4 linked regions of the Arabidopsis thaliana genome follow. The protein of the gene in region 1 purifies or fractionates together with the protein of each later gene. This does not show direct contact. Each region holds a gene or a part of one and is shown in the gene's direction. Other genes may lie near its edges.

Region 1 (4,757 bases):
AATTTCTGAGATCAGAACCATTGATGGCCACAATCCATAACCCAATGCTACAAGCAACCGTCCCCGCGTGTCCACAACCTATTTTCAGCACATTAGACAATGTATTCAGCTATTCAAAATCGACTTTTAAGGTACTAATCCAATCGAGTATAGGAATCACCACTATTGGTATAACCTCTATCCACTCTTGAAGATCAAAACTAACCTGTAAAACCCAGTGGGCACAGCTGAGGAACCTTGCTACTCCAAGTGCAAAAACATAATGAGCCGTGAACGGTTCAACAATCTGAAAACCAAATAGACGCGGATTAGAGAGTAAAACAAATGTAGTTCTCTACTTGACATTGTGAAATAAAGTAGTGACCTTTGTGTTCTGCATCACTCGTAGCTGAGGTAGTACTGAAACAGCTTCAAGGTATACACATAAAGCCCATGAAATTCTGTTTATTATGTTATGAGAGGTCGATGGATGGATGAACACAGCTAATGCAACACAGGGCGCAAGCTGCAAAAATTGAAATCAGATCATTGTCACTGTAAATGATAACAAACAACTCGAGGATCAAAACCAGATTGACTTACCACATAATAGAGAGGAAAGTTGTCTTTGTCCTCCATGTAACTAGCTCTTAACTTGAAACGAATCATAAATATAACCCAGAGAGTTGTTCCCAAAGTAGCCAAGTCAAGAATGGTATGTATATCATATTCCATTACAATGCTACAATACAGCCTAACAGCTAAAAATATCGCCGTAAGCTCCTGAGATTTCAGTGACAATCCTGCAAAATCATTCACAAAGTTATATAAACACATCGAAGGTAAACACTTTCGATTTAAAAAAAGAACCATAGAATGCATCTTAAACCCTAAATTGCCAATTGAATCCTTGATTATAAAGATGATGATTCTACGAATTACGGCTAAAGGCTGCTTCCGGGAGCAGATAATAGTGGTAAACCAATGAAATCCTGATCAAAGCTCGAAAATTTGGACGCGATTATGAGGAAAAACAAAAAAGTTGTGACGTTGAAAAGTAATTTTGCTAAGAACAGAGGAATACATACGATCAGAAGCTGATAAGGCAGGACTGAGTTGAAAAACCCTAAAAATGGATGTGATAAAGACAAGACACATAGAATAGTACCGGCACAGGTCTTCTCCTTCATGAGTTTGTAGATGAGCACACAGATCCCGATGGAATGAACAGCCTCAGCGGCAACGAAGAGATTGTCGTGATCGTGAACAATGAATCTGAGAAGAACCAAAGCCGCCATGCCAGTGACCACGGCGAGAAAAGCCTTCACCTTCGGAGGTTGTCTCCTAACCCATGACCACACCACGTGGATCGGAGTCTTCGTCGTCGCCTTCATGTTTTGCTTTTTTTCGCTTTTCTTCTTCTTCTGTCTCTGATTTTCTCGGCAAAAGTGAAAAAGGTAACTTCTGATCGAGAGAGATTAAAAAGTCTGGTTTTGGTTGACTTGAATGTAAATTACCAAATCACCCCTTCCACACATCTCTTACTCTTAAATACTAAATGAGCCGTGACTGAATCCATAAATTAGGCCCATAATCGTATCTATTGTTTTTCTAAAAGGCCCATGAATGCCTTCGTATATATATGTTCGTTCGGTTAATCGTCTTTCTTACCAACCTCACCCGACGACGGTGATTTTAGGGATTTTCGTGTTCGTCAAGGCTCGCACTGAGGTTTTAGGGTTTTGCTCCTCGGCGATTTTGCTGGGCCTTTGGATTTGAAATCTGAAGCTATGTGGAACATTGATGGTACGTCCTTAGCTCCTCCTGGTACCGACGGTTCGAGGATGCAGACACCTTCACATCCCGCTGATCATCCTTCTTACACGGCGCCTTCTAATCGGAATACTCCGACGGTTCCTACTCCCGAGGATGCAGAGGCGAAGCTTGAGAAGAAGGCGAGAACATGGATGCAGCTAAATTCCAAACGGTACGGCGACAAGAGGAAGTTTGGGTTCGTGGAAACTCAGAAGGAGGACATGCCACCTGAGCACGTTAGGAAAATCATCAGGCGAGTTTCTAATTTTTCAATTTCGATTTCGAAATCCAGTTGACTGGGAAACGAATCTGGTCCAATTTCTTTGTATTATTAGGTTTGGGTTAAGTTAGATTGAAACTGACTCTGCGTTTTGATTCAGGGATCATGGTGATATGTCATCAAAGAAACATCGACTTGATAAACGTGTATATCTTGGAGCACTTAAGTTCGTTCCTCACGCAGTTTTCAAGCTCCTGGAGAATATGCCTATGCCCTGGGAACAGGTAATTATTCACTTAGTGATCTATATCTCGCTTTAGTTGTTCTCCTGCTCTGCTCAAAATTTTGAACTCAGATATTTTCCAGGTCCGGGACGTGAAGGTCTTGTACCACATCACTGGAGCTATTACATTTGTGAACGAAGTACGATGGGTTGTGGAACCTATTTACATGGCTCAGGTGGGTGAATAATCTCCCTCTCTCTTCTTTTGTGTCTGTGCATTTGTGAATTTGTGAGACATGTTTTCTAGTGATGATTCTTTCGTTTGCAGTGGGGTTCTATGTGGATAATGATGAGAAGGGAGAAGAGGGATCGTCGTCATTTCAAGAGAATGCGGTTTCCACCATTTGATGATGAGGAGCCCCCTCTAGACTATGCTGATAACCTGTTGGACGTTGATCCTCTAGAGGCAATTCAGTTGGAGCTAGATGAAGAAGAAGATTCTGCTGTGTACTCTTGGTTTTACGACCACAAGCCACTTGTAAAAACAAAAATGATCAATGGTCCAAGTTACCAGACGTGGAATCTCTCACTTCCAATTATGTCAACCCTTCACAGGCTTGCAGCCCAGTTGTTGTCTGATTTGGTTGATCGCAACTACTTCTACTTGTTTGACATGCCATCATTCTTTACTGCAAAGGCACTGAACATGTGCATACCAGGTAACGCTATACTCTATGTTCTCCTGTTCTGATATCTTCGTTTTCACAGTTGTTGTCCTTCTGTTCTCTTTCCCTGATTCAATTTGGTACTCTTTTTCAGGCGGTCCTAAGTTTGAGCCTTTGCATCGTGATATGGAGAAAGGAGATGAAGACTGGAATGAATTTAATGACATCAACAAGCTTATAATTCGATCCCCTCTGCGAACTGAGTACAAAGTAGCTTTCCCACATCTGTACAATAATAGGCCCAGGAAAGTAAAACTCTGTGTCTATCACACTCCTATGGTTATGTACATAAAGACTGAGGATCCTGACCTTCCTGCCTTTTATTATGATCCATTAATTCACCCCATAAGTAACTCTAATAACACTAATAAAGAACAGCGCAAAAGTAATGGTTATGATGATGATGGGGATGACTTTGTGTTACCAGAAGGACTGGAACCTTTGCTAAATAACTCGCCACTCTACACTGACACTACAGCTCCTGGCATTTCATTGTTGTTTGCCCCTCGGCCTTTCAATATGAGGTCTGGGAGGACTCGGCGGGCTGAAGATATACCCCTTGTTGCAGAGTGGTTTAAGGAGCACTGGTAAGCTAATTTTTCTGATGCTACTGTGGTTCTCTTTCCCCTTTTGAAATTTACTAGACATTGTATTAACTTCTTAGTTATCTCATTTTCTGCAGTCCTCCAGCATATCCTGTCAAAGTTCGGGTTAGTTACCAGAAGCTTTTGAAATGTTATCTACTGAATGAGCTGCACCATAGACCCCCTAAGGCTCAGAAGAAGAAGCATTTGTTTCGATCTCTTGCAGCTACAAAGTTTTTTCAGAGCACCGAACTGGATTGGGTTGAAGTGGGTCTGCAAGTCTGCCGGCAGGGGTATAATATGCTGAACCTGTTGATTCACAGGAAGAATTTGAACTACCTGCACCTTGATTATAACTTCAACCTCAAGCCTGTGAAAACTCTGACAACCAAGGAACGAAAGAAGTCGCGTTTTGGAAATGCTTTCCATCTCTGCCGTGAGATCCTCCGGCTGACAAAACTTGTAGTTGATGCAAATGTCCAGTTCCGACTTGGTAATGTTGATGCCTTTCAATTGGCTGATGGCCTGCAATATATTTTCTCCCATGTTGGGCAATTGACAGGTATGTATCGTTATAAGTACAGGCTTATGAGACAAATCAGGATGTGCAAGGATTTGAAACACTTGATCTATTACCGTTTCAATACTGGTCCTGTGGGTAAAGGACCAGGGTGTGGATTTTGGGCTCCAATGTGGAGGGTATGGTTGTTTTTCCTTCGCGGAATAGTTCCTCTTCTAGAACGATGGTTAGGGAATCTGCTTGCACGTCAATTTGAGGGGCGTCACTCAAAGGGAGTGGCCAAAACAGTCACAAAACAGAGAGTTGAAAGCCATTTTGATTTGGAGCTTCGAGCTGCTGTCATGCATGATGTTGTTGATGCAATGCCAGGTTCGCTTCTTGCGTCTATAACTGATTTGTTTTTCTCAAGGTCGATTTCCTTTAATTTTATCTCTTCCTTGTTGGTTTATACTGTCTTCTAATGTGCAGAGGGTATTAAGCAAAATAAGGCGCGGACGATATTGCAGCACCTTAGTGAGGCATGGCGGTGTTGGAAAGCTAATATACCATGGAAGGTCCCTGGATTACCTGTGGCAATTGAGAATATGATCCTCCGATATGTCAAGTCTAAAGCTGATTGGTGGACAAATGTTGCTCACTACAATCGTGAACGTATCAGAAGAGGGGCTACTGTTGATAAGACAGTTTGTAG
Region 2 (4,913 bases), on another chromosome or scaffold:
CTCAGGTCCATGAGTTCGGTCTTGATACCGTCGGCCTTAAGTATCATAATCTCAAGCTTGTCTCCCTATTACAGTAAACAATCCACAAAGCATTAGTTAGAGAAAAAAACTTGAGGAAGATGAAGTAGTTGTGCAACGTAAGGGATATAGATTAAGTAAATGTTTTGGTAATATTTTGAAGACTTGAACCAAATGCAAATGATATGAGCACAAAGGCAAGCTTTAGGTGGCGTGGTGACAAAAGAAGACACAAATAGGACAACTTACAGTGTAGATATCCCTCTCTGTGGCAGATGCGAAAACAGTTTTAACCAAGTCAACTGCTTCAGCTTCGGAAAGGGGCGTGTTTGAATCCTACATGGTGGCAGAAGACGAACAAATAAGCAACAGAACGATTCATTTTATCTTTACAATGCGAAACGCCAAAAGCACGAATGAAGAATATCAACAAACCTGTTTAGGTAGCAAAAGAGGACTTGGAGACTTGAGCTGATTGTCAAGGAAAGGCATGATGAGTGTGGAACCAGAACCTTGAGCACCGTATCCAACTCTCTCGTATGAGCCAACAGCGTCGTAAGTAAAGACACACCCTTTTCCTGGATATATTCAAGACTAAAGATCACACAAAGTACCCTCTTCTAAAGTCACATCATAACGGAGAAAAAAAGAGGAGCATTTTACCTTCCTCGTCAAGCCCTCCTAGAACATTAAAGGCATAGTAGGGGAAAAACCGCTTGAAATAAAGCGTGTTGGAGAGAAGCTGGGCCATTGCAGGACAGCTCATCTGCTTGTTATGCTGATGTTGATAGATCTGAAGGAAACCAAACACAGAGAAAACACTCTTACACAAGTCTTTCATCATTTTCTAATACTGCGAAGGATGAAAGATAATTGATCAAACGACCAAAGTTTAACTCACCAAGTGTCTGGATTTGAGAACCTTCTGCAAAGCTTTCACATCAGCCTGGAAGCCAGAGGAAGACAAAACAGCTCTGTCCGCTCTGGAAAAGTTAAAAGAAGACAACAGCTTAACAAGAGTCTTACAAGTTACATAAGATGAAAAACACGAGAATTCTATCTATTTCCATACGAATGAATACTTGTGGTATATAAGATCAACAACACAGTAACAAACACTCTTTACGTAAGGTTGAACAAACTCAAAGAACTACACACATTGTCAATAAACGTTATAAGAAAACGAATAAGCTAAGCAATAAACCGGATTATAGAATGATCAATGTAATCACAAAGTTTATATAGAGATAATTGTAACCACTATCAAAAGCCATGTCTAATAATAATTAAGAAACCTATTTTATCTCCACCCATATATAACTGGTTTCACCCAGATCTACGAATTACGATTGCAAAAAAACCCTAATAATCTACAGCAATAATAGTTCGATTGCCAGCATGGAATCACTCTCCCAAAGAATCAACAGTGAGAGAAGAAAGAGAATGGGTACTTACAGTTTATGGATTTTGGAGTAATCGCGACTAAGAATACTGTAACCAGTAGACATCCGAGTATCGGCGGCGATAACACAGTAATCCGATCCAGCGATGGCCACACATGTTCTGAAAAACACACAACGATTAAATTCACAGTAAGTGAATCGTAACACAATCGCCCAGATAGCAAATCAGAATAAAGAAGAAAGACACTAAGCGAAGAAACCCAGCAGGTTGATTAAAGGTCACACGATCCGTACCCTCCATTGTTATCGTAAGGAGACCAGTTCGCGTGCTGTTTAGTCATGGCGGATTTGAGAGAGAAAGCTTTGAGCTAGGGCTTAGAAGAATGAAAAATGGCAGACGAAGCTTTCCGGGTTTGTGTTTTGATGTCAAAGAAACTTCCGAATCGGATCTTATTAGCTCTGGCTTTGTTAACAAGAAAAAGACGGAGACTCAAAACAATACCGTTTTGGACGTGGAAATTACGGGCTGTAATAGGCTTTATAATGGGCCTTATTTGGGCTTTGAATTCCAAAGAAATAATCTTTCTTTTCTTTTCTTCTTCTTCTTCGTCTTCGATTTTCTCTCTCAACGCAAACTCGTAAGCTGCTTCCATTTTCCCTTCTAGACCATTGATTTGTTCTTCGAAAAAACCGTTCTTTCTTTTGCCTCTCACTCTAGTTCCTTCTCTCATTTCTACTTCTCTAGCTTCACTGACTTGCTGCTACCACTAAATCTTGGCATTTGTGGAAAGTTGGGAATTTAGGGTTTTTGGGTGTGTGTGTGAAAACAATGGAAGCACTAGTTGTTGATGCTGGCTCTAAGTTCCTGAAAGCAGGAGCAGCAATTCCTGACCAGTCTCCTGCAATGATAATTCCCTCTCAAATGAAACGAATGGTTGATGATGGGTCTTCTTCAGCTGATAACCCCACCACTGTCTTTGAGGATGTCACTCTTGATCCTATTGAAAGGGGTTTGATTAGAGATTGGGATGCTATGGAAGATCTGTTGCGTTATGTTGTCTACACTGGGCTTGGATGGGAAGAGGGAAACGAAGGCAATATACTTTTTACAGATCCACTTTGTACTCCTAAGGTTCTTATCTCCAAATTTCCTCCTTTGTTCTTAATTTAAAAGATTACAACTTTGAGTCTCTTTTCAATTCCCATAATCCTGTTCTGTTGGATTATGAAAAGGAACAATTTTGTTCTTTTAGTACCTCATTTTAGATAGTAAGACGTTGTTATTTTTAATGTTTCGACCTGATTTGGCTCTGCAAATGTTTGTTTGTGGACAGGCTATTAGGGAGCAATTGGTGCAGTTGATGTTTGAAACATTCAATGTCTCTGGATTTTATGCATCTGAGCAAGCAGTGTTGTCCCTTTATGCTGTTGGACGCATCTCCGGTTGCACTGTTGATATTGGTCATGGGAAGATAGGTATTATAACTTGCTTGGCCTTTGTTACTCTTTGTGTCTTTCACTTTGTCATAAACTCATAATTCCATGTTTTATGTGAGTTATGATGTTACATGAGATGCTGATTCCCTATACTAACCTTTTTCCATGATCTTAAACGTTTTGTTAAACCAATTTTTTTTGGATTCTTCTTGTGTTTATAGCTGGATATGATCAGGATGTTGTTATGTCTGATGTTTTAACTTTGTGGTTGATCCAACTCTTTTCAGATATTGCCCCAGTTCTTGAAGGTGCAGTACAACACATTGCCTCGAAACGGTTTGAGCTAGGTGGAACCGAGCTAACTAAATTATTTGCCCAAGAGCTTGGAAAAACCAACCCGTCGATGAATCTCAGCATGTCTGATGTTGAAAAACTCAAGGAGCAGTATGCAAACTGTGCCGAGGACGAAATTGCTTACAAAAAAACCCAAAACTGTGAAATCGAGCAGCATACTCTTCCTGATGGACAGGTTTGTGTGAAATCAAGATTCTACATTTTGTGTTGTTACCTTATACATATAGATAACAAAACCAATGGCCTTATAGGTGATAAGCATCGGGCGAGAGAGATACTCGGTTGGAGAAGCTCTGTTTCAGCCATCAATACTGGGACTGGAGGAGCATGGAATCGTTGAGCAGCTTGTCCGGATTATCTCCACAGTGTCATCTGAGAACCATAGGCAGCTCTTGGAGAACACTGTACTTTGTGGTGGTACAACCTCCATGACAGGTACTAACAACACTTGATATCATAGTGTGTTTGAATATCTTTTGGGTCGGAAAACTGAAGGGTTTGTTGGAATGGTCGATGGCAGGATTCGAAAGTAGATTCCAGAAAGAAGCAAACTTGTGCTCATCTGCCATTAGGCCAACACTGGTGAAACCGCCAGAATATATGCCGGAGAATTTGGGGATGTATTCGGCTTGGGTTGGAGGAGCCATACTAGCTAAAGTGGTGTTTCCGCAGAATCAGCACGTTACTAAAGCAGATTATGACGAGACTGGACCATCAGTGGTTCACAGGAAATGTTTCTGAAACCATAGACTATAAAACGATGTTGTTGTTGTAGCTGAGGATTTTTTTTTTGGTTGGCTTTGGTTTGAAGATGTGGACCAGATTATGTAGTACATTTCAAATTATGGCTTCCAAATATCGACTAATATGTGTTCAATGAGCCCTTTTCTGAAAACATTGACAAGGTAACTTTGCCAATGCCAACACACACCCATTGTCAGTGGAACTCTAAATGGTTTTGCAGATATGTAACCAGTGAAACTCTTGGTTTTGATGCAGAGAATGGCCAAGATCCTCTTTTTCATTTTGTTTTGAGATCTTTAGTACTTGTACAATCAAATAACACAGTCCCTTTTTGTTTTGTTGGTGTTGTTTGCTGAAATTCGAGAAGGAAAGGGTCAGTGTTAATGTCTAAACAGAATTCAATTTTTTTTATTTTGTAAATTGGTTGCCTCTTTACCTTGTTACTTGTTGTTAGCTTATCTCATCCCTTCTCTCATCTATATAATCGGAAAAGTTTTTAATTAGTGAAATTTAAAATGGAAAGATAATTAGTAGATTTTCTTTGACTTTCTTGATTTTTTTTTCATAATTAAAAAAAAACTATTAATTCTTGAAATTTTGCACGCAACCCGTTAGATTCTAAATTGGTGACGTATATAAACTCAGAAGAAGTAGTAGTACCTTCTTTCACAAGACTCATTTTTTAACGTTCAAGAACAGAAACAAAATTCACTCACTTATAAGGTCTGTGACCACCAGAATAGTAACCATCTGTTGACGTCACAAGTAAAGGAAACCACCCAATCTCACTGTATTAAACGCATCTCTCGAAAATGTTCCCAAACGAATCAATGTTAACCACCTAAAGATACGGTGTTGTTGAAACAACTCTTTTGTTAGTATGTGTTAGTTTAGTACAATAAAACCTTTATAAATTAATAATGTTGGGACAAAGATATTTTATTAATTTAGAGAGAT
Region 3 (4,720 bases), on another chromosome or scaffold:
TTCAAAAAGCAATATAAAGCCAAAAAACGAAAAAAAGATTATCCTGAAATTAATCCACAGTACTGGTTTTTTTTTTTTTTAAAAAGGAGACCGCGTTTCTACGCTGACTTTCAAATCAGTCGCGTCGGTATTATTCCACACGCCTTTTTTCTCGTCCCCATCCTCTATCCACATTTCTCTCTATATATACTCTCCTCGTATCCTAAACTCATCCTCAAATTCAAAATTTAACACACAAACACAAACACACACACCAAAAAAAACACAGACCTTAAAAAAATAAAAATGGTTGATATGGATTGGAAGAGGAAGATGGTATCATCAGATTTACCAAACTCACCTAAGCTTTCTTCAAAGCTTCACGTAACTATTCCATCACCGTTCAAAATCGTCCCTGTTTCATCTCCGATCTCATGTTCAGCACCTGCTCTTTGCTCTGCTTACGAGCTTTACCTTCGTCTCCCTGAGCTAAGAAAGCTCTGGTCATCTCGTGATTTTCCTCAATGGACATCAGAGCCGATTCTCAAACCAGCTCTTCAAGCTTTGGAGATCAGTTTCAGATTAGTTTTCGCCGTTTGTTCTGATACTAGACCGTACATCAACCACCGTGAATGGAACCGGAGGCTAGATTCTCTCATCACGAAGCAGATCCAGCTTGTAGCAGCGATCTGCGAAGATGAAGAAGAAGAAGGTATATCAGCGGAGGCTCCGGTCGGCGGTGGACGGAGTTCGTTGAGTTTGTTACCGCAGCTAGCTACGTGGAGGAGATCAGAGGCTTTGGGGAAGAAGATCTTATATACGATCGATAACGAGATGAGTCGGTGTAAGTACACGCTCGGACTCGGTGAACAAAACATCGCCGGAAAACCAAATCTCCGGTACGATGCGATTTGCCGACCAAACGAGATCTATAGCCTCAAGGATAATCCATACGCAGATCATATCGATAATCACGAGAATCAAACTCTCTATATCATTCACCAGATCCTCGAATCGTGGATCTACGCATCTGGAAATCTTCTGAATCGAATCGTCTCAAGTATCGAAGAAGAGAAATTCGGAAAAGCTTCAAACGATGTTTACTTGCTGGAGAAGATCTGGAAAATTTTAGCGGAGATTGAAGATCTTCATATGTTGATGGATCCGGAAGATTTTTTGAAATTGAAGAAACAGTTACAGATCAAATCGACGGGTAAAAACGATGCGTTTTGTTTCAGATCTAAAGGATTAGTGGAGATGATGAAGATGTCGAAAGATCTGAGACAGAAAGTACCGGCGGTCTTGGCGGTTGAGGTAGATCCAACCGGAGGACCAAGATTACAAGAGGCGGCGATGAAGCTTTACGCGAGGAAGACAGAGTGCGATAAGATTCATTTGCTTCAGGGGATGCAAGCGGTGGAAGCGGCGGCGAAGAGTTTCTTCTTTGGGTATAGGCAGTTAGTGGCGGCTATGATGGGAAGTGCGGAGATGAACGCGACGGCGAGTCAAGAGTCGTGTGACTCACTGAGTCAGATATTTATGGAGCCGACGTATTTCCCGAGCCTTGACGCGGCAAAGACGTTTCTGGGAGAGTTTTGGAGTCATTTGGGATGATTAAATTTTAATTTCTGCTGGTATAATTATTTAATATAAATTTAAATTGGTGGTTTGGTTTAATTTAGTTTGTAAGATAGTGAAATTTTTGGAACATTTGACGATCCATATTTGAATACAAATTCATTTTTATATGATTTATGAGATTTTTTAACAAACGATAACATTTACGAATATCGTAATCCATACTTTGAATTATCCACAAGTCGTAATTCAAATATGGGTGGTCTACTAACGAGTAACGACTAATCTATATGCTCTGACTAATCGTCAACAAATCACCACCTATCCTTCGTAGATGTTAGTGTATGAGAAAAACACAATTTCACACCTATCCTTTGTAGATGTTAAATTATGAGAAAAACACAATTTCACTTTCACAGTGTATAATATTCAAAATTCAATGATAAACACACACACAAAAACGTTATAAAAAACCCAAACCGACGATGAGTAACCAAACCGATGTATAAAACGACATTGCCTTTCTCTGTTTTTTGTGTTCAACAAATTTCATTAAGAGAAAGAAGGGAAGTGTTTGAATGAGTATTCATTCATTAGTCCAAGAAAAACATTTAATGGGCCTGTTTGTAGGCCCACTGGCACATAACCTATCTTCTGTATCATTGATGCCTTCTCCTACCTTCCTCTGACGCTCACATCGGAAACCCTAAATCTCCACTCTCTCGCGCCTTTTACCCCTTCTCAGAATCTTAACCATGGCGGCGACGAGCGAGCACACCATCTTGCAATTTGTGTCTCCGTCATCAACGGCGTCCGCTACAACCTCTGTACTCACGGCGAGGATCCACCCTCTCGTTATCTTTAACGTCTGTGATTGCTTCGTGAGACGTCCTGACTCAGCTGAACGAGTCATCGGAACTCTCCTCGGATCTATCTTACCTGACGGAACCGTCGATATCCGCAATTCATACGCCGTCCCTCACAATGAATCATCCGATCAGGTTCGAAATTTTGATCTCTAAATTTCTCCTCTCTCTCGATTCTCTATCGTTGGAGATCCTAGATCTTTCGTAGCTGAAGATTTGCTTGTTAGGATGTGAATGTTTATAGGAGTAGTGTTAGCTTCATACCCCAAGGTTGTGACTTGTGATAAGTTTTGAGGGTTATGGTTTGATATGGATGCAGGTTGCTGTGGATATTGATTACCACCACAATATGTTAGCTTCACACCTTAAGGTGAATTCAAAGGAAACTATTGTCGGCTGGTACTTCTCGTTTCCCACTCTTATTCTCTTATACTCTCATGATTAGTCTCATATCTTTGTCACATGATTCTTGTAGCTGTGTTGGAACACTGCATTAGGTAGTTTCTCATTTTGGAATAGTTGATTGAACAAGTTTATTGATTTGCAGGTATTCAACTGGTGCTGGGGTTAATGGCGGTAGTTCGCTGATTCATGATTTCTATGCTAGAGAAGTACCCAACCCAATTCACCTAACTGTGGATACTGGGTTTACTAATGGTGAGGGTACTATCAAAGCTTTTGTCTCTTCAAACCTCTCACTCGGTGATCGACAACTCGTTGCACATTTTCAAGAGATTCCTGTTGATCTCCGCATGGTTGATGCTGAGAGAGTCGGATGTGAGTATTCTATCCTTTTATTAGTAACCAATTCTATATTCAAAATACATAACAGTCCTCATTCCTCAATTGTCTAAGTAGTTCAGTTTCTGCATGGTTGATTCAGTATCTAGAGATTGTTTCCCTAATGATTGTGAATGAACCAACGGGAATAGATGATCTTTGGTTGTGTCTGTTCAGTAGATTAATGATTGTGACTGATTTAAAAACATCATTTTGATCCACAGTCGATGTACTTAAGGCAACATCTGTTGACAAACTCCCAAATGACTTGGAAGGAATGGAGTTAACAATGGAGAGGCTGTTAACTCTAATCAACGATGTCTACAAATATGTTGACAGTGTCGTGGTAAGCTTATGATATCCTTGACTGTCTATTATCGACCATAGATACATGATCTTTGATACAGAGTTTTAATGAAATTTCCCAGGGAGGTCAAATAGCTCCAGACAACAACATTGGACGATTCATTGCAGATGCAGTAGCCTCCCTTCCCAAGTTACCTCCACAAGTCTTCGATAACCTCGTGAATGATAGTCTCCAGGTAAAAGATTGTAAATTTCAAGCCAAAGCAAAACACTTTGTAAAAAACTAATGGTTGTTTCTTCTGTTATTTCAGGACCAATTGCTTCTGTTGTACCTATCAAGCATAACAAGGACACAGTTGAGTCTAGCGGAGAAGCTAAACACAGCTGCTCAAATGCTATAATAAGCTTGGAAACACAAGGTTTTGCTAAAAATGGGGAATGCTGCTTTTTTGGTTTCGAATTTTCTTTTAACAAGTTTATGTAAGAATCAGCTTCTTGTTGTAGTGTTCCTAAATTGCAAGTTTAAGAAAGACAAAATGCTCTGTTTCGTGAATTAAGGTCTTTAAAAGGGATTTTTAGTTGGTGTGCCTAATTTTAAACAATATACATATAAATGAGCTTTGTTCTTTTTTTATTTGCCACTTGTTGCGCCTAATCTTTATCACTGGAGATATTTATGCTCAGAATTTTGGATCATGGTCTCTCTCTATTAGCTATGTTACATTGAAAGAGTATAGAAGCCTAGAATTACTGCTTTCTCTTTTGCCGTATTGCGATTGGCCTATGTAGGATCTTACAAAACAGGCTTAATAGACACTATTGGAAACTAACTTCTAAATTGTAAACAATTTGCGATTTGCGGTTGCATATAATAATGCTAACTTTGGCATATAATAGACACTATTGGAAGTTAATATCTAAATATTACACAACATTTGCGATTGAAATCATTCAGCAATTTTTTCATTTCCTGCTTTCACTACACAACTAACACAATCAATTTTTTTACCCGTTTTTTTGTCTTTCTGATAAGCTAAATTAGAGCTACGGTTTATGTATCGGAATACATTAAACTGATTTCGCTGAATCCGAACGAGTATTTGAAGTTTTTGTGGTTAAAAACTTGATTATTTTAGTTTGTGTTGTAAAAACATGAGGGGAGTTTTTGTGGAATGGATTTTGATAGCAAATGTATACGCCTGTTTCTCTGT
Region 4 (8,039 bases), on another chromosome or scaffold:
CTAGGAGTGCTCTTCATTTTCTGAATCTCTTCCATCACAACCTTCTCCACTTTATCAATAGAGTTGAGGAGCTTCTTCTCTGGAGTGAGGGCATCTTCTTCCCCTGTGTTTTCTCTTGTGATGTCGAGCAAAATCTGATGGACTTTAGCAGTTGAGGGTGGCCAAGGACGCTTGAATCCAATAGATGGACCGGGAGTAACCATAGAATAGTCGTGCTCGAGATGAGCACCTGACAACGGTACTAGAGAATCAAGAACCCCAAGTTGTTGTGGAGTTGGGGTCTCAATATCTCGGCCAACACCTTCTCCCATACGAGCTCTCCTTCTCTCAATAGCCTGCATATAAGAGTTTGTAAATAGCCAGACTAAGCAAGCCTTTTGGTAACAGGTTATGACTTATGATATAGTTAACAAAGAGGCTAAGCAAGCCTGTTACAGAAGACTAATCTAGCTTATAAGCAGCAGATTCTGAACCAATATGCAAATCACAAACCAGATATAAACAGATCACAAATTAGCTATATATCAATGAAAAAAACTCCAGTTAAATCTAAGAATAAGCAGACAAATCCAAAATGAGACTAGGTTTAGTGAACTAACCCTAACAACGGCAGAAATATCACGGAGGGGCGTTCTTGGATACCAAGAAGGTAAGACAGAATTTGAAGCACGAGCCCTTCCACGCCTTGTAACACCCAAGCTCATGTTCTCTCGTCCCTGTGGCGATCTAAATTGAATTTGACCTCTTCTACCACCACCAGTCCGCCGAATACCGAAATTACCCCTCACAAGCCCACCTCTTCCCGTCATAGATCCTTGACCAATTGACCCAAGTCCTCCTGTAGCTTCCGATGGCACTCTCTGAACCGGAGACCCAAACAAATTGTGCTGTGTTGCTGGTTCGTCAAGTAAAATACCATGCGAGCGTCTATTGAGAAATGCGGCTGGGTAATCAACTTGCCTCTCTATTCGATCTCGTGCTTCTGGCATTTGTGATTGAGCGCTGAAGAAATCAAACAACTATGCCATTAGAACACACCCAAAATCGAAATCGCAACATTAAAACCCAAGAACTCAGTCTTGTTCTCCATTGTTAATCAGATTTTCTCGAAACCTCATAAACAACAAGAAAAAGAGATCAACTCTTCGTTTTCGCAACAAATCTCCGTCACATCACAAAGAACCTACTTGAACAAATCAAACCATGGATTTACCTATGAATCTTCAATAGATTCCTTCGTGATAGCTCGGAATGGCTTCGTGAACGGTAAAGTGGAGGGGACAAAGGAGAAAAAGAGAGAAAAGCTTTTGAGAGAGAGACGATCTGGCAAACAAAATTTAGACCATTTTCTAGGCGGGTTTTGTAATTGAAAATGAAAAATTTCGAGCTCGCACGTGTCAAAGTGGTTTCACCTGTGTGAAATATTTTGAATTTTTCATCTCACGCGGGATAAATTTCGTTTTTTTTCAAAGCGCACATTGTCACAATTCGTCAAATTCTTTGTCAGATTTCAATTTTGCCCTTCTGAATAAAACTGGGCTTGTGGCCCAATTCTATTTACGTACGCATTGCTTTCAAGATCGAATCCTCACCGTTAATTGTCATAGGATCCAACCGCTGCTTTTTACTAATACCAGAAAACCGGATTGGCTAGTTGGTACGGTCTAATGATACGATAACTTGCTCTGATTATACGAAAACACTCATCAAGAACCAACTCTAATTAATGTTTTCTTCTAATTATAGTTAAAACGGATTGAACCGGACAATTCCATAATTTTAGTCGGCTTCCGGACAGGCCTTCGTGGGTTTGGAATTTGTGGCCGACAATGTATTGTCGGTTTAAGACTTGTTTAGGGTGTATATATAAGACTGTTGAACGAAAAAAAAAAAAAACTCATCGACTCGATCAAATTCTTAAGACGACGATTACGGAGAACGGGAGAGAGGTAATAGAAGAGTTTTTCGTTCCGAATTTTGTTTTGTTTCATTGATTTAATTCTTGGAATTTGGGGTTTGTTTTTCCGATTTGGTGATGACGAATTTGGGTGGTGGTGGTGCGGAGGAGCAAGCCAGGTTGAAGCAGTATGGGTACAAAGTCAATTCCAGTCTTGTTCTTAACAGTGATGAGCGTCGTCGTGATACGCATGAATCTTCTGGTGAACCGGAGAGTCTCAGGGGTAGGATTGATCCGAAATCCTTTGGAGATCGTGTCGTTAGGGGAAGGCCTCATGAGTTAGATGAGCGGCTTAATAAATCTAAGAAGAAGAAGGAACGTTGTGATGATTTGGTGTCTGCTCGTGAGAGCAAAAGAGTTCGTCTTAGGGAGGTGAGTGTACTTAATGATACGGAGGATGGTGTTTATCAGCCGAAGACTAAGGAAACAAGGGTTGCTTTTGAGATTATGCTTGGTCTTATCCAGCAGCAATTGGGTGGGCAGCCTTTGGACATTGTTTGCGGTGCGGCTGATGAGATTTTGGCAGTTCTTAAGAATGAATCCGTCAAAAACCATGAAAAGAAGGTAGAGATTGAGAAACTACTAAACGTTATTACTGATCAGGTTTTCAGTCAGTTTGTTTCGATTGGAAAACTGATTACAGACTATGAAGAGGGTGGTGATTCTTTAAGTGGTAAAGCTAGTGAGGATGGAGGACTTGATTATGATATTGGTGTTGCCCTTGAATGTGAAGAGGATGATGATGAGAGTGATCTTGATATGGTCCAGGATGAAAAAGATGAGGAGGATGAAGATGTTGTTGAGCTTAACAAAACTGGAGTTGTCCAGGTGGGTGTGGCAATAAACGGCGAGGATGCAAGACAGGCAAAGGAGGATACGAGTCTTAATGTTCTGGATATTGATGCTTATTGGCTTCAGAGAAAGATATCTCAAGAATATGAGCAGAAGATTGATGCACAAGAGTGCCAGGAACTCGCAGAAGAGCTGCTTAAGATACTTGCTGAGGGTAATGATAGGGATGTTGAGATCAAGCTGCTTGAGCACCTTCAGTTTGAAAAGTTCAGCCTTGTTAAATTTCTGTTGCAAAACCGTCTTAAAGTTGTGTGGTGCACCCGTTTGGCTAGGGGAAGAGACCAGGAAGAGAGGAATCAAATTGAGGAGGAGATGTTGGGGTTAGGTTCAGAGTTGGCAGCAATTGTTAAGGAGTTGCATGCCAAAAGAGCAACAGCCAAAGAAAGGGAGGAGAAACGGGAGAAAGATATCAAAGAAGAAGCTCAACATCTTATGGATGATGATTCTGGTGTTGACGGAGACAGAGGCATGAGAGATGTTGATGATTTAGATTTGGAGAATGGTTGGTTGAAGGGCCAGCGTCAGGTGATGGACCTGGAGAGCCTTGCTTTTAACCAAGGTGGTTTCACGAGGGAGAATAACAAGTGTGAGCTTCCTGATCGCTCTTTCAGAATACGTGGCAAGGAATTTGATGAGGTTCATGTGCCGTGGGTTTCTAAAAAGTTTGATAGTAATGAAAAGCTTGTGAAAATTAGCGATTTGCCAGAGTGGGCCCAACCAGCTTTTAGGGGAATGCAGCAGTTGAATAGGGTTCAGAGCAAAGTGTACGGCACTGCTCTTTTTAAGGCTGACAACATTCTTCTTTGTGCTCCAACTGGTGCTGGGAAGACCAATGTTGCCGTGCTCACCATACTGCACCAGCTTGGATTGAATATGAACCCTGGTGGAACGTTTAATCATGGTAATTACAAAATTGTCTATGTTGCACCAATGAAAGCCCTTGTTGCTGAGGTCGTGGATAGTCTATCTCAACGTTTGAAGGATTTTGGAGTTACTGTGAAGGAACTCAGTGGGGATCAGTCCCTTACTGGGCAAGAAATCAAAGAGACTCAGATAATTGTTACAACGCCAGAGAAGTGGGATATCATCACCAGGAAATCTGGAGATCGCACTTATACACAGCTTGTGAGGCTTCTTATAATCGACGAAATTCATCTTCTTGATGATAATCGAGGGCCTGTGCTTGAAAGTATTGTCGCTAGGACTCTTAGGCAGATTGAAAGCACAAAGGAGCATATTCGTCTGGTAGGTTTATCTGCAACACTGCCAAATTGTGACGATGTGGCTTCATTTTTGCGAGTGGATCTTAAAAATGGGTTGTTTATATTTGACCGTAGCTACAGACCTGTGCCTCTCGGTCAGCAGTATATAGGAATTAATGTGAAAAAGCCGTTACGGAGGTTCCAGTTGATGAATGATATATGTTATCAGAAAGTAGTGGCTGTTGCTGGAAAACACCAGGTCCTTATTTTTGTTCATTCGAGGAAGGAAACAGCAAAAACTGCAAGGGCAATACGGGACACAGCTATGGCAAATGATACCCTCAGCAGATTCTTGAAGGAAGATAGTCAAAGTCGTGAAATTCTTAAGTGTTTAGCTGGACTTCTCAAGAATAATGACCTGAAAGAGCTTCTGCCTTATGGTTTTGCAATTCATCATGCTGGGTTGACAAGGACTGATCGTGAGATAGTTGAGAATCAATTTCGCTGGGGGAATTTGCAAGTGTTGATTTCCACGGCAACTCTTGCCTGGGGTGTGAATTTGCCTGCACATACTGTCATTATCAAAGGAACCCAAGTATATAATCCTGAGAGAGGGGAGTGGATGGAGCTGAGTCCTTTAGATGTTATGCAGATGATTGGTCGTGCCGGAAGACCTCAATATGACCAACAAGGGGAGGGAATAATAATCACTGGATACAGCAAGCTACAGTATTATCTTCGTTTGATGAATGAGCAACTACCTATTGAAAGCCAGTTTATTTCCAAACTTGCTGATCAGCTCAATGCTGAAATTGTGCTTGGAACCATTCAGAATGCTAGAGAAGCTTGCCACTGGCTTGGCTATACATATTTATATGTCCGCATGGTTCGTAATCCGACACTGTATGGCGTATCGCCTGATGCCCTTGCAAAAGACTTGCTATTGGAGGAGAGAAGAGCTGATCTGATACATTCTGCTGCCACTATCTTGGACAAGAACAACCTGATTAAGTACGACAGGAAAAGTGGACACTTCCAGGTTACTGATTTGGGACGCATTGCTAGCTACTACTACATAAGCCATGGAACAATAGCTGCATACAATGAGAATCTGAAGCCAACAATGAATGATATAGAGCTTTGTCGTCTGTTCTCTCTGAGTGAGGAGTTCAAGTATGTCACTGTTCGACAAGATGAGAAGATGGAACTGGCAAAGCTTTTGGATCGTGTACCAATTCCGGTAAAGGAAACACTAGAAGATCCCAGTGCAAAGATCAACGTTTTGCTGCAAGTATATATTTCAAAGCTAAAGCTCGAGGGTCTTTCTTTGACATCTGACATGGTTTATATTACCCAAAGTGCTGGACGTTTGTTACGAGCTATTTTTGAGATTGTGTTGAAGAGGGGGTGGGCTCAACTGTCTCAGAAAGCTCTCAACTTGTCTAAAATGGTAGGGAAGAGGATGTGGAGTGTTCAGACACCCCTCTGGCAGTTTCCTGGAATTCCCAAGGAGATTCTGATGAAGTTGGAGAAAAACGATCTGGTGTGGGAGAGGTACTATGATCTATCTTCACAGGAGCTAGGAGAGCTTATTTGTAATCCTAAGATGGGCAGACCACTTCACAAGTATATCCATCAGTTCCCAAAACTGAAACTTGCAGCACATGTTCAGCCGATTTCTCGTTCTGTTCTGCAGGTTGAGCTCACGGTGACACCTGATTTCCACTGGGATGACAAAGCAAATAAATATGTTGAACCGTTTTGGATAATTGTGGAAGACAATGATGGTGAAAAGATCCTTCATCATGAGTACTTTCTTTTTAAAAAACGGGTTATTGATGAGGACCACACTTTGAACTTCACTGTACCAATCTCTGAGCCAATTCCCCCACAGTATTTCATCCGAGTGGTTTCAGACAAATGGCTTGACTCGCCGACTGTGTTACCTGTATCTTTCAGGCATCTTATTCTTCCAGAAAAATACCCACCACCTACAGAGCTACTGGATTTGCAGCCCCTCCCGGTGATGGCCCTAAGAAATCCTTCTTATGAAACTCTTTATCAGGATTTCAAGCATTTCAATCCAGTGCAGACTCAGGTCTTTACTGTTTTGTATAACACAAGTGACAATGTAGTGGTTGCTGCTCCAACAGGAAGTGGGAAGACTATATGTGCGGAGTTTGCTATATTAAGGAATCATCTCGAAGGACCTGATTCTGCAATGCGTGTTGTCTATATAGCACCTCTTGAGGCTATTGCCAAGGAGCAGTTTCGTGATTGGGAGAAAAAGTTCGGAAAGGGGCTTGGTTTACGGGTTGTTGAGTTAACTGGGGAGACATTATTGGATCTTAAGTTGCTTGAGAAAGGTCAGATAATCATAAGTACTCCTGAGAAATGGGACGCTCTGTCCCGGAGGTGGAAACAGAGAAAATATATCCAGCAGGTTAGTTTGTTTATCGTTGACGAGCTTCATTTAATTGGGGGTCAAGGTGGTCAAGTGTTGGAGGTAATTGTCTCTAGAATGAGATATATTTCAAGTCAGGTTGGGAATAAAATCAGGATTGTTGCATTATCAACTTCCCTTGCAAATGCCAAAGATCTTGGAGAGTGGATTGGGGCCAGTTCATGTGGCGTTTTTAACTTCCCGCCTAATGTTCGTCCTGTCCCACTGGAGATCCACATTCATGGGGTGGACATATTGAGTTTTGAAGCCAGGATGCAGGCGATGACTAAGCCAACATACACTGCCATAGTACAGCATGCCAAGAACAAGAAACCAGCTATCGTTTTTGTCCCGACCCGTAAACATGTCCGCCTTACTGCTGTGGATCTGATAGCATACTCGCACATGGACAACATGAAGAGCCCTGATTTCCTTTTAGGGAATCTGGAAGAATTAGAGCCTTTTTTAATACAAATTTGTGAGGAAACTCTGAAGGAGACTTTACGCCATGGCATTGGCTACCTGCACGAGGGTTTAAGCAATCTGGATCAGGAGATTGTGACTCAGCTTTTTGAAGCTGGACGGATTCAGGTATGTGTAATGTCTAGTTCATTGTGTTGGGGTACTCCATTGAAGGCACATTTGGTTGTTGTAATGGGAACACATTTCTACGATGGACGGGAAAATTCTCATTCGGATTACCCCATCTCTAATCTGCTCCAAATGATGGGGCGTGGTAGCCGACCTCTGCTTGACGACGCTGGGAAGTGTGTGATCTTCTGTCATGCACCACGTAAAGAGTATTACAAGAAATTTTTGTATGAAGCTCTTCCGGTTGAGAGTCATCTTCAACATTTCTTGCATGATAATTTCAATGCAGAAGTAGTTGCTAGAGTTATAGAGAACAAACAAGATGCTGTGGATTATCTTACCTGGAGCTTCATGTACAGGAGGCTTCCCCAGAACCCTAACTACTACAATCTCCTGGGAGTGAGCCACAGACATTTATCTGATCACCTCTCAGAGCTCGTTGAAAACACTTTGTCTGATCTTGAAGTGAGTAAATGCATTGAAATAGACAATGAGTTGGATCTCTCTCCTCTCAATCTTGGTATGATTGCGTCATATTACTACATAAATTACACCACCATTGAGCGATTCAGTTCTCTCTTGGCTTCCAAGACCAAGATGAAGGGTCTTCTTGAGATCTTGACTTCAGCTTCGGAGTATGACTTGATTCCTATACGTCCTGGTGAAGAGGACGCAGTTCGGAGACTCATCAATCACCAGAGGTTCTCTTTTCAAAACCCAAGATGCACAGACCCTCGTGTGAAGACAAGCGCACTTCTTCAGGCGCATTTCTCAAGGCAAAAAATCAGCGGGAACCTTGTAATGGATCAGTGTGAGGTCCTTTTATCAGCAACAAGGCTTCTTCAAGCAATGGTCGATGTGATATCGAGCAATGGCTGTCTGAATCTTGCTCTTTTAGCTATGGAAGTAAGCCAGATGGTGACTCAAGGCATGTGGGATCGAGACTCCATGCTTCTGCAGCTTCCTCACTTCACAAAGGACTTAGCCAAAAGGT

The links.
Region 2: the proteins of AT4G38780 (region 1) and ARP7 fractionate together in Arabidopsis thaliana (co-fractionation; one large-scale study listed by BioGRID). This does not show direct contact.
Region 3: the proteins of AT4G38780 (region 1) and EIF2 fractionate together in Arabidopsis thaliana (co-fractionation; one large-scale study listed by BioGRID). This does not show direct contact.
Region 4: the proteins of AT4G38780 (region 1) and AT2G42270 fractionate together in Arabidopsis thaliana (co-fractionation; one large-scale study listed by BioGRID). This does not show direct contact.

The regions. Positions count from the first base shown.
Region 1 is NC_003075.7:18,108,042-18,112,798, reverse strand, and holds the start of AT4G38780 (pre-mRNA-processing-splicing factor-like protein), read left to right. Parts: upstream 1-1,758; 5' UTR 1,759-1,769; coding exon 1,770-1,966; intron 1,967-2,174; coding exon 2,175-2,298; intron 2,299-2,380; coding exon 2,381-2,473; intron 2,474-2,565; coding exon 2,566-2,956; intron 2,957-3,056; coding exon 3,057-3,549; intron 3,550-3,644; coding exon 3,645-4,435; intron 4,436-4,534; coding exon 4,535-4,757. Other genes in the region: AT4G38790 (ER lumen protein retaining receptor family protein), read right to left, coding at 1-78, 206-286, 365-505, 583-782, 1,148-1,373; AT4G38781 (uncharacterized protein), read left to right, coding at 1,606-1,758. UniProt on the Arabidopsis thaliana protein: Functions as a scaffold that mediates the ordered assembly of spliceosomal proteins and snRNAs. Required for the assembly of the U4/U6-U5 tri-snRNP complex.
Region 2 is NC_003074.8:22,472,048-22,476,960, forward strand, and holds ARP7 (actin-related protein 7), read left to right. Parts: upstream 1-1,935; 5' UTR 1,936-2,250; coding exon 2,251-2,553; intron 2,554-2,755; coding exon 2,756-2,897; intron 2,898-3,145; coding exon 3,146-3,387; intron 3,388-3,463; coding exon 3,464-3,647; intron 3,648-3,732; coding exon 3,733-3,953; 3' UTR 3,954-4,398; downstream 4,399-4,913. Other genes in the region: PBF1 (N-terminal nucleophile aminohydrolases (Ntn hydrolases) superfamily protein), read right to left, coding at 1-61, 264-354, 454-596, 682-811, 920-1,001, 1,474-1,581, 1,716-1,762. UniProt on the Arabidopsis thaliana protein: Essential protein required during embryogenesis and all plant development stages, probably through a chromatin-mediated regulation of gene expression.
Region 3 is NC_003071.7:16,697,522-16,702,241, reverse strand, and holds EIF2 (eukaryotic translation initiation factor 2), read left to right. Parts: upstream 1-1,932; 5' UTR 1,933-2,312; coding exon 2,313-2,558; intron 2,559-2,742; coding exon 2,743-2,822; intron 2,823-2,970; coding exon 2,971-3,200; intron 3,201-3,427; coding exon 3,428-3,549; intron 3,550-3,631; coding exon 3,632-3,745; intron 3,746-3,820; coding exon 3,821-3,910; 3' UTR 3,911-4,201; downstream 4,202-4,720. Other genes in the region: HSPRO2 (ortholog of sugar beet HS1 PRO-1 2), read left to right, coding at 286-1,593.
Region 4 is NC_003071.7:17,602,295-17,610,333, forward strand, and holds the start of AT2G42270 (U5 small nuclear ribonucleoprotein helicase), read left to right. Parts: upstream 1-2,035; coding exon 2,036-8,039. Other genes in the region: UVI4 (uv-b-insensitive 4), read right to left, coding at 1-335, 600-989. UniProt on the Arabidopsis thaliana protein: RNA helicase that plays an essential role in pre-mRNA splicing as component of the U5 snRNP and U4/U6-U5 tri-snRNP complexes. Involved in spliceosome assembly, activation and disassembly.